Linked DNA regions of Oryzias latipes. The protein of the gene in region 1 purifies or fractionates together with the protein of each later gene. This does not show direct contact. Links are inferred from orthologs where the notes say so. Each region holds a gene or a part of one and is shown on either strand. Other genes may lie near its edges.

Region 1 (7,518 bases):
TAGCAGTCACTTCTGCTTATATTTATTTGAATGTTCCATTTGTTTTGGTGTAAAGGGACTTGTGCTCAAATGCACTGACACAAAGTGAGCACTTTGGACAGCTCTACTTGCACTTTACAAAAAAAAATTCAAGGCGCAAGTGGTGTTGTACAGCCCACAGGCACTACCAGCCCTTGCCATCAGCCTCTATGTATCAACGCCGCAGGGGTATAGGCACCACCGCCGCTCTCACCACCCATCTTTGAAACGAACTTGCTTGCTTAGCAGTCACGACGCACATCTAACTCTCACTTGTCTTTCTGATAGGCTGTCTGAGCTGCATGTGGATAAAAGTGCTAGCAATACTATCAGCATCATCAACTGACTCAGAAAAACGCCTTACTTCAGATGCTAATACTGGTAAGAGCCACATGTGGTAAGTTGATAGAAAATCCACTTTCTTCAAAACGGCGGCTTTTCTGTTAGTTTTATCTTTATAGCAATCATTTTGTTTTGGTACCACACCCACATTACTTATATGTTTGTATCCAATGTTATATTAATTTGTTCAGTTCTAGTCATGGATACATGCATTAAATGTTCACAGTTTTCCATTTAAACATGTGCGAGTAATAAGAGAATGCCACTTTAGCTAGCTCACCACTCGCACACCGTTAAAAATGTACAACTTCTAATTGCAACATCTTTTCCATAACTGCTTTTAATTAAAGGTGGCGGCCTCTTCCCGAGGTCAAATGTTGACAAAACTCCACTACGCCAAATCTCCAATTTTGGCACAAAATGGCCAACAAACCATAGGTGTGTCGCCATTCCATAAGTATTTCATAACTATTTCATAACTTCTTTCATTGGATATCCCAGACAAAGGTATATTGGTTTCGTAAGTAGATTTCCATTTAGAAAGAAAATTTATTTAGCTGATTCAGCACAATTTTTTGCGACATTTTTTGTTTACCACACCCACTATTTTAACATTGTCATCTAGAATGTTGCATCGTTTTATTCAGCTTGGGCCAGGGAAATGCATATTGAATTTTTACGACACCCCAATAAGAAATGTGCGAGCTAGCTAAGATCGCAACAGTTGCAACTTGCCACGTACAACCATCCAAAATCTACAACCTCCAATTCTGACATTTTTCCACAGTGGCTTGCCATTGATGGCCGAGAAGTTACGAGACTATAGATAAAAATCCCTAGGACGCGTTTTCGTTTGTATCTGAAACTAAGTTTTTTTTTTTTTGAATGTGTGCAGATTTTGGTGAGTTTTTTTGTGTATGTGGTGGGGTCAAATTTTTCGCTCAAAGGCGCAGATAGAAAGCGGAATCATAAGTATTGCAGAAACAATCTACAAGTTTTTGCGGTTAGGACCGACTGTGTCTTTGTATTTTGTGTTTTACTACACACTGGTCATGTCTTTTGGGGCTTATTCCTTTCCTTTGAGTTTTTTAAACCATATAGTTTTTGTCAGTCGTTGCAAAAACAATATGGTCCTTGGAGTCCTTGACCGCTGTGGGCCATAATCAGCCTAGAATCTTTAAATAAAACTTCAAGCAAATTCCCGGGAGGTTTTACTCACCTGAGGCAATTTTTACAGCAGGTTCTGGGATGGGGATCTTCACTGGGACTGGGCATGTTTTCATGGGCTCCAGAAGACCAATTACACCATTATTATCCTATTAAAAAAACAGCACAGCTGAAAATTCACAAAAATTAATAACTGCAGAAAGAAGCCAATACCATACAACAGGGGTGTCAAACTCATTTTCACTGAGGGCCACATCAGCATAGTGGTTGTCCTCAAAGGGCCAGACATAACTTATACATGTAACTAAATGTAATGAAAAATAAACGCAACTCCTCCTTAATGTTAAATTACTCATTTCTTTATTATAACTTTTTAAAGTGACAATTACAGTTGCATAGAAAACATGTTTGCTTTTTAATCTAGCATAAATCCTTTTAAATCTGATCCTCTCAGGTTAGGTTTTATGGACAGTGTTTAAGTTCTAATGTACGGAGCCCGTGTCCTGACATTAAAAAATTAAAATATGTCTCGTTCCCACAGATCAATATCTTGCTCGCACAAAATAATATTCCGTTCCGACAAGATAATATTTCGTTCCCTCGAAATGATTAATTCGTGCGAACGAAATGACTCTGACAGCCAGCGTAATCTTAGGATATTTTTCTGATTTTCATCGAGACAATAATAGATTGCTCATCCTTGCTTTTATTTTTACCCCTATTGAATGCTCACAGAGACACGGAAGTAGCGGCAGAAAGCGGCTTTTAATAAATTTGATCTATAAACATCCTCCGTGTCTTAAATGCAATGTAATAAGACACACACAGACAGAAATGTGAAGGTTTCTGCTGAAAATCTATGACGTAAATAACAGGATAAATGATCGGCTAGTTAGTTAGCGTGTTGCCTACTAACCTTCGAATGTAAAGCAACTGCTAAAGAGTATGTTAATAAAAGACAAGTCCTGAATATTATTATTCCTATATATTCGACCCTAAACTACAATATCAGCTGGATGTCTGTCTACCGGCCAGCCAGCTGCCCGAATGCCGGCATGACAAGCAAAAGAGCTCTGCGACGGAGCTAGGTCCGGTGAATCGTATGGCAAAGCAGCAAGCCTAGGTATCATAAATCTTATATTTTTCTTATATTCATTGAGACGATTATAAATTGATCATTCTTGTTTTTCTTTTTCCTTGCTTGAACGAATGTGGGTCACAGAGACACAGAACTTACCGCTGAAAGTGCCTTTTGCGACCGGACGGAGAGTATATCTGTGTTTATGAATGACTTATGACGTGAATAATAATTGCGTTCGCACGAATTAATTATTTCGAGGGAACGGAATATTATCTTGTGGGAACGGAATATTATTTCGTGCGACCAAGATATTAATTTGTGGGAACGAGACATTTTAATTTTTTAATGTCAGGACACGGGCTCCGTACTAATGTATTGTTGCCCAATCCAATACTTCAAGTCAGATTCCTCCTAATTTTAAGAAATTAAAAACTATTTTAAGAAATTAAAAACTGCTCTCGCGGGCCACAAAATGACATGGCGGGCCACATTTGGCCCGCGGGCCTTGAGTTTGACACATGTGCCATACAATAAAACCCATTAAGAGTCTGAGAAATGTATGGATTAGATTAAATAAAATAAAATAAACTTTAACCAATTTAAAAAGAGATCAAGTCAACAAGTGATAATAGACCTCAGCTAATTATGGTGAAAATGAATTCCACGTATTTGGACATTTTAGGAAAAACCATATCAGAGTGCCAGAAATTGACTGAAGGAGTTTACAAACCCTGAAGGAGCCCCAGATGTAAACAGATCCATCCTCTGTGAGAGCAGCTGTGTGGCTGTCCCCTGCAGACACCTGGACCACCTTCTCACCTAGAGTCACCTTTCCTGGAACCATCTCAGACCCCTCTTCTGTTGTGTCTCGACCAAGAGCCCCCTCATCATTACAGCCAAAAGTATACACCTTAAAAATAAATAAATGAATAAATCTACTAATTCATTTTTTTTAACTTGAGAAAAAAAAGCAAACCGGGCCGTCATTCACGTACGTGTCTACTTTCGCTGAGACACACAGTGTGCATGCCTCCTGCTGTCACTTGAAATACTTTCTCAGGTAAGGACAGGAGCGCTGGCTTCTTCCTCTGAATGATGTCCTCACCCAAACCAAGTTGGCCAACATCACCCTGGCCTAGGACCAAAACTTGGCCCGGCTCGTTGCAGTGACTGCCATGTGAAACTGCAAATAAATAAATAACACTTCAAAAATAAGCTGATCTAATGTAAACATGGAATTCAGTAGCTACAGGGGATTAATTTTATCTAACTAGTTTAAAGTTGAAGAATATTTCTATCTAGATTTCTCTTCCAATAAATAGTTTGGCAGAAAGTGAATTATTTACAACACAAAAAATATTTTTTTATGAGTAACCCCTTGTAATTGGACATACACAGCAAACTTAAATATTACCTTTTACTTTCTTGGGCTCATTAGCACCTTCAACAGCTGCAGACTTCCTCTTTGGGGCAGTCTTCTTGCTGGGCATTGTGACACTATTAAATAGAAATTTATTTATTTATATATATATATATATATATATAAAAAACATATTAAGTGTTCATATATTTACAAAAAAAAAAAAAACAAGCTTTGCTCCAAGCCTTCAACTAAAATCAAAGTGAGAAACGTGGATCAGGCAGACATAAAGGCCTATGCTTGTTGAACTAGCAGCTGCTGGCTCTCTCACAGCAGCTGCCTTGGGGTCCAGAGGCTGGTTCTTAACCCCAGAAACAGCTGGGCTTCCTCTGCTCCCCGCGAGCGCCAGCACACCAGTGTCAACACGCCTGCAAACTATTGAAAATCTAAGTCCAAGGTGGTTTGGATAGGTGAGTTTACACCGAGCCTGCGGTTTAATTGAGCTGCATCATGACCGCTAACGCTGCTAGCCATGGCCATGTGTCCTTAACACTTAGTGAGAGAGGGTCAACAAATACGCTCCATTGATTTATGTCCTTCCTTTAACATAAAAGAAAAACACAGAAACACTGTTTTTTTAACATTACACACACCAACAAGGCGAAAAACACAATCAACTCAGAAAAACGTTTGTAAAATCACTTGCTTTTCTAGCTAGCTAGCTAAAACGTTAGCGTCTCTCCCAAAAATAAATGAATAACGAAAAAGTATAGGTATATTTTTAATTAAAAACTCATGAGGAGGGTTGTTTTTGGTTCTTTAAGAGTAGTTTTAGAAGCATATAACTAACCTGTTAACGGTAGAAGTTAGTTGATTTAGCAGTAAACGACGTGCGCTGCCTGCTACCGGTTTCATGCGTGCATGTGCGCGACGTGACCAATGAGCATAAAGCGTCAATGTGTGTGTGTGTGGGGGGGGGGGGGGGGGTGACGCACAGATTGTTTGAACCAATGAGTTGGTTTGAACCTTAAGAACGCCTACTTTGTTAAAGAGACAGGACCCATAAAACGTCATTTGTTACTGATGTTTTTAACACTATTTTTCTACAAGCGAGCGGCGATAAAACAATTTCATTTAAGTTAAGATCATTAAAAAAAATGAAAAACAGAGTAAATTTTTGTTTCAATGAGGTAGTAAGAACGTGCATAACCGATCTCCGCCAAAACAAATATGGATACAGTAGCAAACCAAGCATTGCAGCCAACCTTTGTTTTTTAACAATGCTACAAATGTACAGTTAACACTCATTAGCACTCATTACTGCGGTGAAGTTAGTTTTAGGTTAGATACTCGACAGGCATTCAGCGCCAATCTCGAGTGGGGGTCTCTTTGGGGCCTCTTAGGGACAGTTGTGGGCAATGAGTTATACCACTAGAGGAGACATCAGGTGATTCCTCATGGGAGGAGAGCACTGCCATCTTGGTGAGGTCAAGTCACTGCTGCAGTTCATGCATGTGAACTCATTTTTTGCAAAATGCCAGTTCATTGTGCGGGTTTCAACTGCCAAAATCTGAGTCCACAAAGGAGGAAGGCAGAACATTTCACAGGTAAGAACTATAATTTTTTCTTTTACTGCTGGAGGGGCTTCATTAATAGAACACATGTTGACATGCATGATGCTGCAGGGCTATTATCAACATGCTGCATGATGTACGGATAATTTGCTGTCGACATAAATGTAAACTTTATTTAGTTAAACCTATAAACAGTACACTAGGACTAGGCTAATATAGTTATATAAATTTATACATTTCTGACTCAGTGACTGAACTTTTCTTGCAGGTTTCAATGGATTCAGACTTAAGGAAAAAGTGGGCCTTAGCGATAAAAAGAGCTAACCCAGATGGATCACTGTGGTACCAACTAGCAATACAGTCTGGATATGTTCAAAAGATTTTGGGGAAACAGATTTTGATAAGAGGCCAAACTGTTCGCTTGAAACCCTACAACATAGCATCTATAGCTGTGGAAAGGTCTGCAGGCCCATATCCGATTTTCTGACTATATCCGATTTTTTTGACAACCCGCTTACATCCTCTTTTAAAAGTGACCCGTATCCGATTTTTGCATTAACACTATACAATGCTGAGACTATCAAACGTAGACGTTCTGAGGACTACGTAGCAGCATTTCCGCCTTCCGCGGACCTCCTCTGGACTTTTGTGACTGCGGTTGTCATGGAGGCAACTCAGCGATGAAGGAGGCATTGCCTTGGGGGCTCAGAGGGGAGAGGAAAAAGGAGGGCTGCTCGGCTCTCTCTGAATTTTGAATGAGGAAGTGTTTGCAGACGTGCCGTACTAACAGTTTGATCCAAGTGTTGAACCTTTCCTGCGCGATGACTTCTCTTTTCCGACCGTGGTCAGAAACGCACGGGAGATTTTCTCCAGGGCCGAAGGCGGATTCTGCACAGAGTGGGTTAAGAAAGACTCCAAAACAATCTTTTGGGGGAGACACCTTCTTTTTATTACGGTTCTCCGACACTCTCCCGCTCTGCGCTCACACCCCTCTCCTCTCCTAACACACACACACACCCACACACACAGCACGCGCGGTCGCCATCATACACGCCCACACTCCGCAACACAAGCAAATAAATAAACGGCTTCTAGCCAGTTCCAGAGCAATTGTGTCCCGCTTGATTAGTTACCGTTTGCGTCCCGACCGCAAATAACAGCGGTTTCCGACTTTGGCTCATCCGTGCTCCAGTTCCTGACCGTCTACCTCGCCTTTGCTCCCGCTCCTACACCTGGTTGTGGATCCTGCCTCTGGCTCGTCTCTGCTCTGTACCTGACCGAGTACCTCGTCTCTGCTCCTGCTCCTACACCTGCATGTGGTTCCTGTCTACGGCTCGACTCGTGCCGTTGACTGTCCCCCCAACCACAGCTGGATGAAGCTCGTCTGCTGGACTTTTATATATGTAGTTGTAGATTTAGATAAGTTAATTCTTCTCTAAGAGTTCTGGTAAATTGCCTGTCCGTCCTGGGGGAGGATCCCTCCTTCATGTGGGCACCCCTGAGGTTTCTTCGTTTTTTCCGGAATCCGTTTTTTTTGGGAGTTTTTCCTTACCGCGAAGGGGGGTCTAAGGGCAGGGATGCCAGTATAGCTTAGTCAGTTTGTTAGTTCATTTTAGTATTTTCCTATTGAACTCTTTGTATTCATGATCCTTTTGAGTTCATGTTTTACTTCGAAGCCCATCGAGACGACTGTTGTTGTGATTTTGGGCTATACAAGTAAAATTGAATTGAATTGAATTGAAGCCTGAGGCTGAAAGGTAACACGCTGACATCAACATCAGTGCACAAAAGCACCTTAATAAGTCATGTGATCTCAGTTGGTGGTCTCCTGAGTTGATGTCACTGACGTACGACTCGCATTTACTGGGGAATATCCGATTTGTCTGCTTACATGGCACACGCAAATGCAGGTATCCGATTCGTATCCGATTTATTTCCACATATGAGTGAGGCTTGAATCTGATCTGAGAAAAACG
Region 2 (7,608 bases), on another chromosome or scaffold:
CTCATTGAATTATTTGAGTCTGAAAAGTCTATTTACTAAGATACTTCTTGAATGTTGAAAGAACAGAAATATAGCAGAACGTACAGATAAACATGCCTGAAAAAAAGCCTGTCTAGTCTTGACATTCTGCATGTTTATGTAGCAGACAGAAAAAGTTCCAAGCTGGAGTATGCAGCAAAGAACAGAGCGTGTCTGCATTAGATTACATATACTGTGTGTTTTCAGGTTGAAAACCCCTTTAAAGCTCCCAACAGGAGGCAGTTATAAATTAAAATACCTCCATTTATTTCAAGAAATCTAATTTAATACCTGATTTCTCCAGATTTTTTTGAACTTCATCCTTGCATTCATCAAACTTGACCTTAAACTTCTGTGCGTCTGTAGACAGAAATGTATGTATTAGGATTAGTTTTTTAAATTTACATTTCAGAATGAATTCAGTGTGAAACCACTTACTTTCTGCATTCAAAAAGCGAATGGCCAGAAGTTCTGGTTTGGGGCATTCATCTGCGTAATCTGCTAGTGTGTTCCACACCCATGCTCGGTCGCTGCCGGCATTGGGCTTCAGCTCCATCGTTGGTACGACTAAGAGGAAGGAGAACAACAGATATAACTGAATGCAAAAGCCTAATTCCTTTATTTAATGATCTGCCATTTATAAATGCAACACATATCTCCAAGCTGAACCTTTACTGTAGAAAATATATTTGATAGATTAAAATGAGCACTGTACTCTAGTTTTTATAGTGACATTTATAACATTGTCCCAACATAAAAACATTGAAAGCTCTTTAGCAGAATACTATGGGCAAAAAAATAAACTTAAATGTGTTCCAAGTTTTCATCTCTAATCATGCACAAGGCTCTGGAGTAGGGGAGGCGTCCCGTTTAGTTCTAAAGAGCGGATGTCCTGCTCATGGTTCAGATATCCCCGCCCCACATGGAGCGTATTATCACGTTCAGGTGAATTCCACCAATGACAAGCAGAGGTAGACAGAATAAGCAGGTATAGTTGCCTTTAGGCACTGGGATTGGACAACCCTGCTCGAAAGCAACATGAACCCTTGACTGAACAACTGCTGTCAAAGTCAGTCTTGTCAACAAAGAAAAATACACAAAAAACATTAACAGCAATCTGTTCAATCTGAATATAAATCTGTTTGCAGAATCCTTTCTAATTATTTTCATTTTGTTTAGTCAAAACTTAACCAACCAGTCCTGATTCAATCCAAAGAAAAATAAAATTAAATCTGTGAATCAGTCGTGCATTACAGAAGCAAAGGATACAACTAGGGTTGTGCCGATGGACGATATCATCGTCCATCGTGATGGGTGACTGACATCCCGATGGAGAGACCACCATCGTGATGCCACGCCCCCGCCACGTTGCGCGTCGACATCATAAGCCGCGGTTACATGTACAAAATATCTTGATGGGATCAATGGTTGGATTAGAATCCAACCGTGTACATGGGCCCAGAAAAATGTTTTCAGAATATAAAAACGTTCACTAAGGTCACAATTTCGGTCGGAATAAATCATTCGCACATGCGCAGTATTCGCACATGCGCAGTTTGAAAACCGGAAGAGGATACAACTTCCGCCGAGCGGCTTTTTTTCCAAACTTTATTGAAGGTAACAATTCAATACAAAACGATAACAGCGCCGAGCAGCTATATACATTGACATGTCAGCTCGGTAAAATACGAGACGATCTTCTAAACGTGCTTTTAATAATGTTACGGTTATTATGAAACATCTGTTCGCTCATCATTTGAATTTTAATCCGTGTGGTCAGTGCTTTTTCTGAACGTAGCCAGGATTAGCAGTATGCTAACACGGGCTAACAACATTAGCTTTGGGTGGCGCTGCACGTAAACGTGTAAGAATAACATCAGCCTTTATTTAGTCGGGACACGACTGGAAACACAAATCCACGTGATTGATTGAATGTTTTCTAAGGACTGAGCGAAATTTCTGCTTTGAAGCTCAAACCGCTGTGTGTCTGCTGACGATCCGAACTGTGCTCAGACACACGTTTAGACCCGGTTCTGAGTTCGGTAGCTCATACCCCTAGAGCTGCGGGACGGATCGCAGTCTTAAATCTCCCTCTCATGTACCCCCCCCCCCCCCCCTTCCCTCAAACACAAAGCTGTAAGTCCGCGCTCCGCCGGTCCACTTCACTAGTGAAGTGCAGGAGCGGACCACTTCTTTTCTATTTTGCTTGTTACTTTTTCTGTTAAAGTCACTTCCCTCAGTTTATACTGGATCATCGCGGATTAACCATTAGTTGGGAAATAAAATGAAAAAAGCAAAATAACGAATAGCAGTTATATAAGAACGAAAAATGTAAAAATACCCCCCCGACGATGTCATCGTCCATCCCGATGGTTGACAGCAAACATCGTCAACGGCCAAATTAGGGGACATCGCCCAACCCTAGATACAACCTTACAACCTTACAACACAACACGTCGTTATCACAAGATACATTTTTGAAATTTTCTTTTTTCATTTTCTGCAATACAAAGTTAGAAAAATGTCAAACAACAGAAAAACTGATCAATTTATAATTGATCAGTTTAATCATGGTCCAACTCGGGCAGAGATTCAGTCACAAACAATGTCCAAATCAGTTATTGTCATTCGATGAGAAGGTTGGCCCGGCTGCAGCTGCGCAGGCGGCTGCAGTTCAGTGATCCTACGGTTGTTGTCAATTTACATCAGTGACCAGATGAGGGGGGCAGGCTGTGTACACGGTTACAAAATGATGCACAAGAGGTGCAGGCTGGAAGGACTGTGTGTCATTCATGACTTTGTTATCACAAGGGAAAAAAACGTTTTCTCGTGATGACGACATAGTACATGTCCAAATAGTACATAATCAAAAGAAAACGGGCACACACAAAAAACCAGGGTAGGTTGTTCTCAGCTCCTATTGTGCATCTATTTCAGGAACATGTTTTAATCATCGTCTCATTTGGAACGCTTAAAAGGTGATGGTTGACTTACTGTTATGGTTAGCACAGATCTTTAAAGTTCGGTCTCTCCTCATTAAAAGGCGGATTGTGCCTTTCTCTTTGTGTTTCAGAAGCTTTACATCACCTGTCCCCCTCTCCTTCCACTCTGGAGGATCATTCTCAGAGGCAAAACGATATAGTTTAGCCCGCCTGGAAGCAAAAGAGCAGAAACGTGACAGATTAAGTTAACTAAACTTACACGCCACATACCTAAAGACTGTTAGCCACTTTCTCGTTTCTGAGGAAATTTTTTTTTTAAACTTACCTTAATTATTTACGTGCAAATAAGCACAAAAACCGAAAGAAATTCCTGTTACGTGTGGCTAAAATGCACATTGCCCGCACATATTTAATCCTAACCATGCCCTAAATACATGCAAACAGTGACTTCCTAAATTAAATGTCCATGGTCCAGGAACAAGTTGAAAAATGCAAAACCTGCATAGCTCCAAATATCAAAGGGATCATAAGTAGCTTACATTTTGAAAAGCTCCTCCTCGTCCTCTTCTAATGTTTTCACATCTTGCTCAGGAAGAGACACAATGGGCTCAAAGTGGGGGTCATGGTTAGAGTCGTCAACATTATCTGTTGAGGTTTCGTGATCATCCTGGTCCTAAAACATGTATGAACAAGGCAAAAAAAAGAGGATATTTTAAAAGGCTATTTTGAAGAAATTTTATTAAAATGTGACACGAGTGCAATGAGCAGACAATGAAAGCTTCACTGAAGGGGGTGCCAGGATTCATTGTTTAAGGATAACTGTTGCAGAGTGAGAGGCCAGACAAAGCTTTGTAACCGTTGCTGAGATAAGCACCTTTAATGTCAATGTACACAGATCCACTAATTTAGCTTTTGAAACAATGAAAAACATCACTGTAATTTATTCAACAGGGGGAAAGACAGCATTTTTAAATTAAACAATTTGAAGGACCAATTAATAATATCACCAAGGTTTGAAAGAGATCGTCTTTGGTTAATAGTTCTTGCCTAGGAAATAAAGGTTGTGGATTTGAAGGACCTTTTCTTTAGGTGAGAAAATAAATATTCACCAAAAAAAGGTTGCTGCCTTGAGTTAGCATAAAATCTGGAACAAAAACTGCAGTGAAAAAGTAAAATACACGGCTCATTTGTTTAAACGTTATTCAAACGAAATACTTCTATTTTTTTCGTAATTGCATCAAACCTCTGAAGTGTCAATTAACAGATATTTAGTTTTTGAAAAGTTGGGGTCACAGTTCAAAAGGCCGTAATCCAGCAAACTAGCCAAATAACTGCTTAACTGTAGCTACACGGTGACAAAAAATTCCTTAAGATGTTAAAAAAGAAATCGGGCTGATATTAATATTGACGTTCTCTAACACAAAGCGTTGCCGCCTGCAAAAAAATTGGCCTCAAAATAATTGGACATTAATTTCAAGCTAACGGAGAGGACCCGTTAGCCAAACTAAGGTTAGCATGGGTTGAGCTGTGCAGACAAAGACAAGTTAGCTGATTAACCTTGTTGTCTTGAGTCGCTTAATTATTTAGGTTTCATTTAATGTTGCTGTGAATGATAAACATATAGAAAAGCTGTGAAAAAGTTGCTATACCGTCGCCTTTTCTTGCTAGAGCGCGTTGCAAAAGCTAATGTTCACACGCTGCCCGCATGAACACCACTCTCAGCTCATAAACTATAGCTACCTCTGTAATCACTGAAATAATTAAAATACATTTACCAGTTAAGTACAGTAAACTGGTAATGGTCTTCTTTACAGAATGATGATAAAAACGCTTCAAATAGATTTCGAAACATCAGGAAACAACATAAATTGTCAGCTTCTATATTTTAAGAATTAAAATGACAATTTAAAAGGATTCCGCCCAAAATTTGGGTTTTATAGCAGAGAGAAAACTCTAAACAACCTCTAAATTGATACCTCACCTTCGTGTCTGCCATATTAATTTAGATGTTTGCAGATTGTGGAAAAAGTTTGAGAGATTCAAATCCCAAACTAGCCGCCGTTTCCCTTTGCTACCCTCACTTCCTGTTAGCGCTTTCGCGCGCTGAATTCTCTGCGCATGCTCGTGGATCCATCGTTACGGCGCGCGCACCGCTCCTGTTGAAGAATGAGTATATGGAGAGAAATAAGTCTCACCCTATTTGTGTGTGCAAAATTCTTGATTTTTAAAATGTGTCTGTGGGCAACTTTTGATTTATCTGTGTGTATTTGAAACATGCATTGATTAAAACATTGGAAAACCTTTAAAAACTAAATACCCTTTTAAACATTCACTTATTTTATTTTTTTAAGTCTACAAAGCACAGAAATTGAGGATTATATGACTTTAGTCACATTGGTTTTAAACAATTTACAAAGGGGGGACCAGCAGATTTTGAGAGGAATTTGACAAGAATGTCCATCCTCAACTATAGTGTTCTTCATTATGACATGGTAAACCAAAATGATATTAAATCATGAATAGTTTCACAAACAAGGCAGGCCTGTAAGGCAAATACACGAAAATATTTAAGATTTATCTAAAACATCTGGCCGTTCTTTAATTGAAAAAAATATATAATAAGGAGTAAACATCTTTTTCGAAAGAAATCTTTTTGATTTGATTTGAAATGGAAATATAGAACTTTAGGGAATTATGTATATTATATTATATATTATATTGTATATTATATATAACATTATATATTATATGGTGATACATTTACATTTACGAATGTAGAATGTTGTCCGACGACTTAATAAATAGATTATAAAAAGGATGATCAATTATGAACAGATTGTTTTTAAACTACACGTTTTATCGGAAAAAGACCCTGCCACTTTAAAAAAAAGAAAAAAAAAGTTCAAAGTTCACGTTGTACGCGGTGACGTCAGCACATGGCGACGCATTGTGCGCACGGGAAGCCCTGCAGGTAAGCCTTGAAAACGTGGATTTTCAGTAAATTCCGGAGTTACCTGTGACAAATGTGGTGTTTATTTGTTTCTTCTTTGCACGAGGACAAATATAATCATATTTTTAAAATAAAAGGAGTCTGCAGAGGTTGTTTTTTTTAGTGTTTCCCTGAACTATGTACGTTAGCAATAAAGTATGCTGTATTGGTTGGTAAAAAAAACAAAAAAACAACCTATTATTCTTAAGCTATTACACACGTACGAATTTATAACTTTTTTAATTAATTGAAAATATGTCTAGAAGACCAAATTGCCTTTAAATATAAAGATTTTAGTTGAAAAGTCAAATAAAGATTTGAGTTTTTTTTATGGCAACCGGATTTCTACTTTTTTTCTATTGCAGAATGATGGCAGATAACGATGGCAGCTTAGCAGCTGATGTATCTTCAAATGAGAAGAGGCCTGAAGATCTCCAGAACTGCAGTAGTAATGCTCTCAGCCCTGACGTCAAAGCTGAAGGTGACCCAGAGGGACCTTCTGACCCTGACAAGTACCGCTACATCAAAGAAGACCTCTTCACCTCTGAGATCTACAAAGTGGAGATCCGCAACCTCCCCAAGTTCATAGGTTTCAACGACCTGAAGAAGTTTCTCGCCAAACATAGCATTAACCCGCATAAAATCAAGCTGATCGGCAAGCACACCTTTGCTTTTGTCACTTTTAAAAACGAAGAGGAGCGGGACAAGGCGCACAAATTGGTGCATGGCATGCAGTGGAAGGGCCAGGTGCTCAGTGTCCGCTTGGCCAAACCTAAAGAAGACCCCATCCTCAAGAAGAGGAAGCAGGAGGTAGGAGAGGGCGGGGCTGGACAGCCGGCCTCCAAACGAGCAGAGGGCGATGAAGAGGAGCTGCCGCTCAGTGTTCAGATAGCCAACGTTGTGACTCCTCTGTGGAACTCTACCTATGAAGAGCAGCTGAAGATGAAAGAGCAGGAGGTGGTGGGAGTTCTGCAGAAGTTAGCCAAGTGAGTGATGAACAGCATACTGATCAACAAAACCTTCTGTTCACGTTCAACATCTTTTATTCCTTGTGGTTTTAGAGAAATTGGGAGCACCAACAAAGCCATGCTGCCGTGGCTGTTTGCACAAAAAGTGAAACATAACAAAATGTGTTGTCCTCTGGAGGCTATCCGACCATCCCCCACACAGGTAGCCATTTTTATCCATCATTAAGGTGATCGCTGTGCTGCCTAGAGACCCACTCCAATGAAAATCCTGTTTCTGGTGTTTATAACGTTATCTTGTTGCTTTTTTTGGATGATGGAGGACATATATAAAGAAAATTCAGATTAAAATGACATTTCCGAGTAATTTTTTATTCAGATCTTTATGAATCAGGCGCAGACAAAAAAGATTGTCGATGTGACGTAGAAGCTACAACGGCAGGACCTCCATTCTGATGCATCCATCTATTTGGACATGACTAGATCCGTGTACGTCTTTGTTTCGTGGTCTGAGCTGGTATCTGGGTCAAAACTACAGCTGGATGGCTCCAATATTACTCGTCATTTTTGTTGCACCGGTAACGTTAGCTTCGGTTCGTAAGGGGCTGGAAGCCAGCAGGAGAGAGTGTAAACAAAGGGTTGATGGTAATGGGGTGACCTTACTCCATGCCAACATTCCCACCCACAACTCAGA

What was found.
Region 2: the proteins of rcc1 (region 1) and ranbp1 purify together in Homo sapiens (affinity purification with mass spectrometry; 3 studies listed by BioGRID and IntAct, counting the BioPlex papers as one, with this or other methods). This does not show direct contact. The link is inferred for Oryzias latipes from reciprocal best matches to the Homo sapiens genes RCC1 and RANBP1.

The regions. Positions count from the first base shown.
Region 1 is NC_019874.2:68,181-75,698, forward strand, and holds the start of rcc1 (regulator of chromosome condensation), read right to left. Parts: upstream 4,926-7,518; 5' UTR 4,884-4,925; coding exon 4,819-4,883; intron 4,106-4,818; coding exon 4,023-4,105; intron 3,792-4,022; coding exon 3,604-3,791; intron 3,519-3,603; coding exon 3,339-3,518; intron 1,677-3,338; coding exon 1,580-1,676; intron 1-1,579. UniProt on the Homo sapiens protein: Guanine-nucleotide releasing factor that promotes the exchange of Ran-bound GDP by GTP, and thereby plays an important role in RAN-mediated functions in nuclear import and mitosis.
Region 2 is NC_019867.2:23,296,455-23,304,062, forward strand, and holds the start of ranbp1 (ran-specific GTPase-activating protein), read right to left. Parts: upstream 5,074-7,608; 5' UTR 4,957-5,073; coding exon 4,942-4,956; intron 3,634-4,941; coding exon 3,500-3,633; intron 3,171-3,499; coding exon 3,013-3,170; intron 586-3,012; coding exon 457-585; intron 379-456; coding exon 310-378; intron 197-309; exon of another isoform or gene 65-196; intron 1-64. Other genes in the region: trmt2a (tRNA (uracil-5-)-methyltransferase homolog A), read left to right, coding at 5,897-5,931, 6,315-6,935, 7,011-7,119. UniProt on the Homo sapiens protein: Plays a role in RAN-dependent nucleocytoplasmic transport. Alleviates the TNPO1-dependent inhibition of RAN GTPase activity and mediates the dissociation of RAN from proteins involved in transport into the nucleus.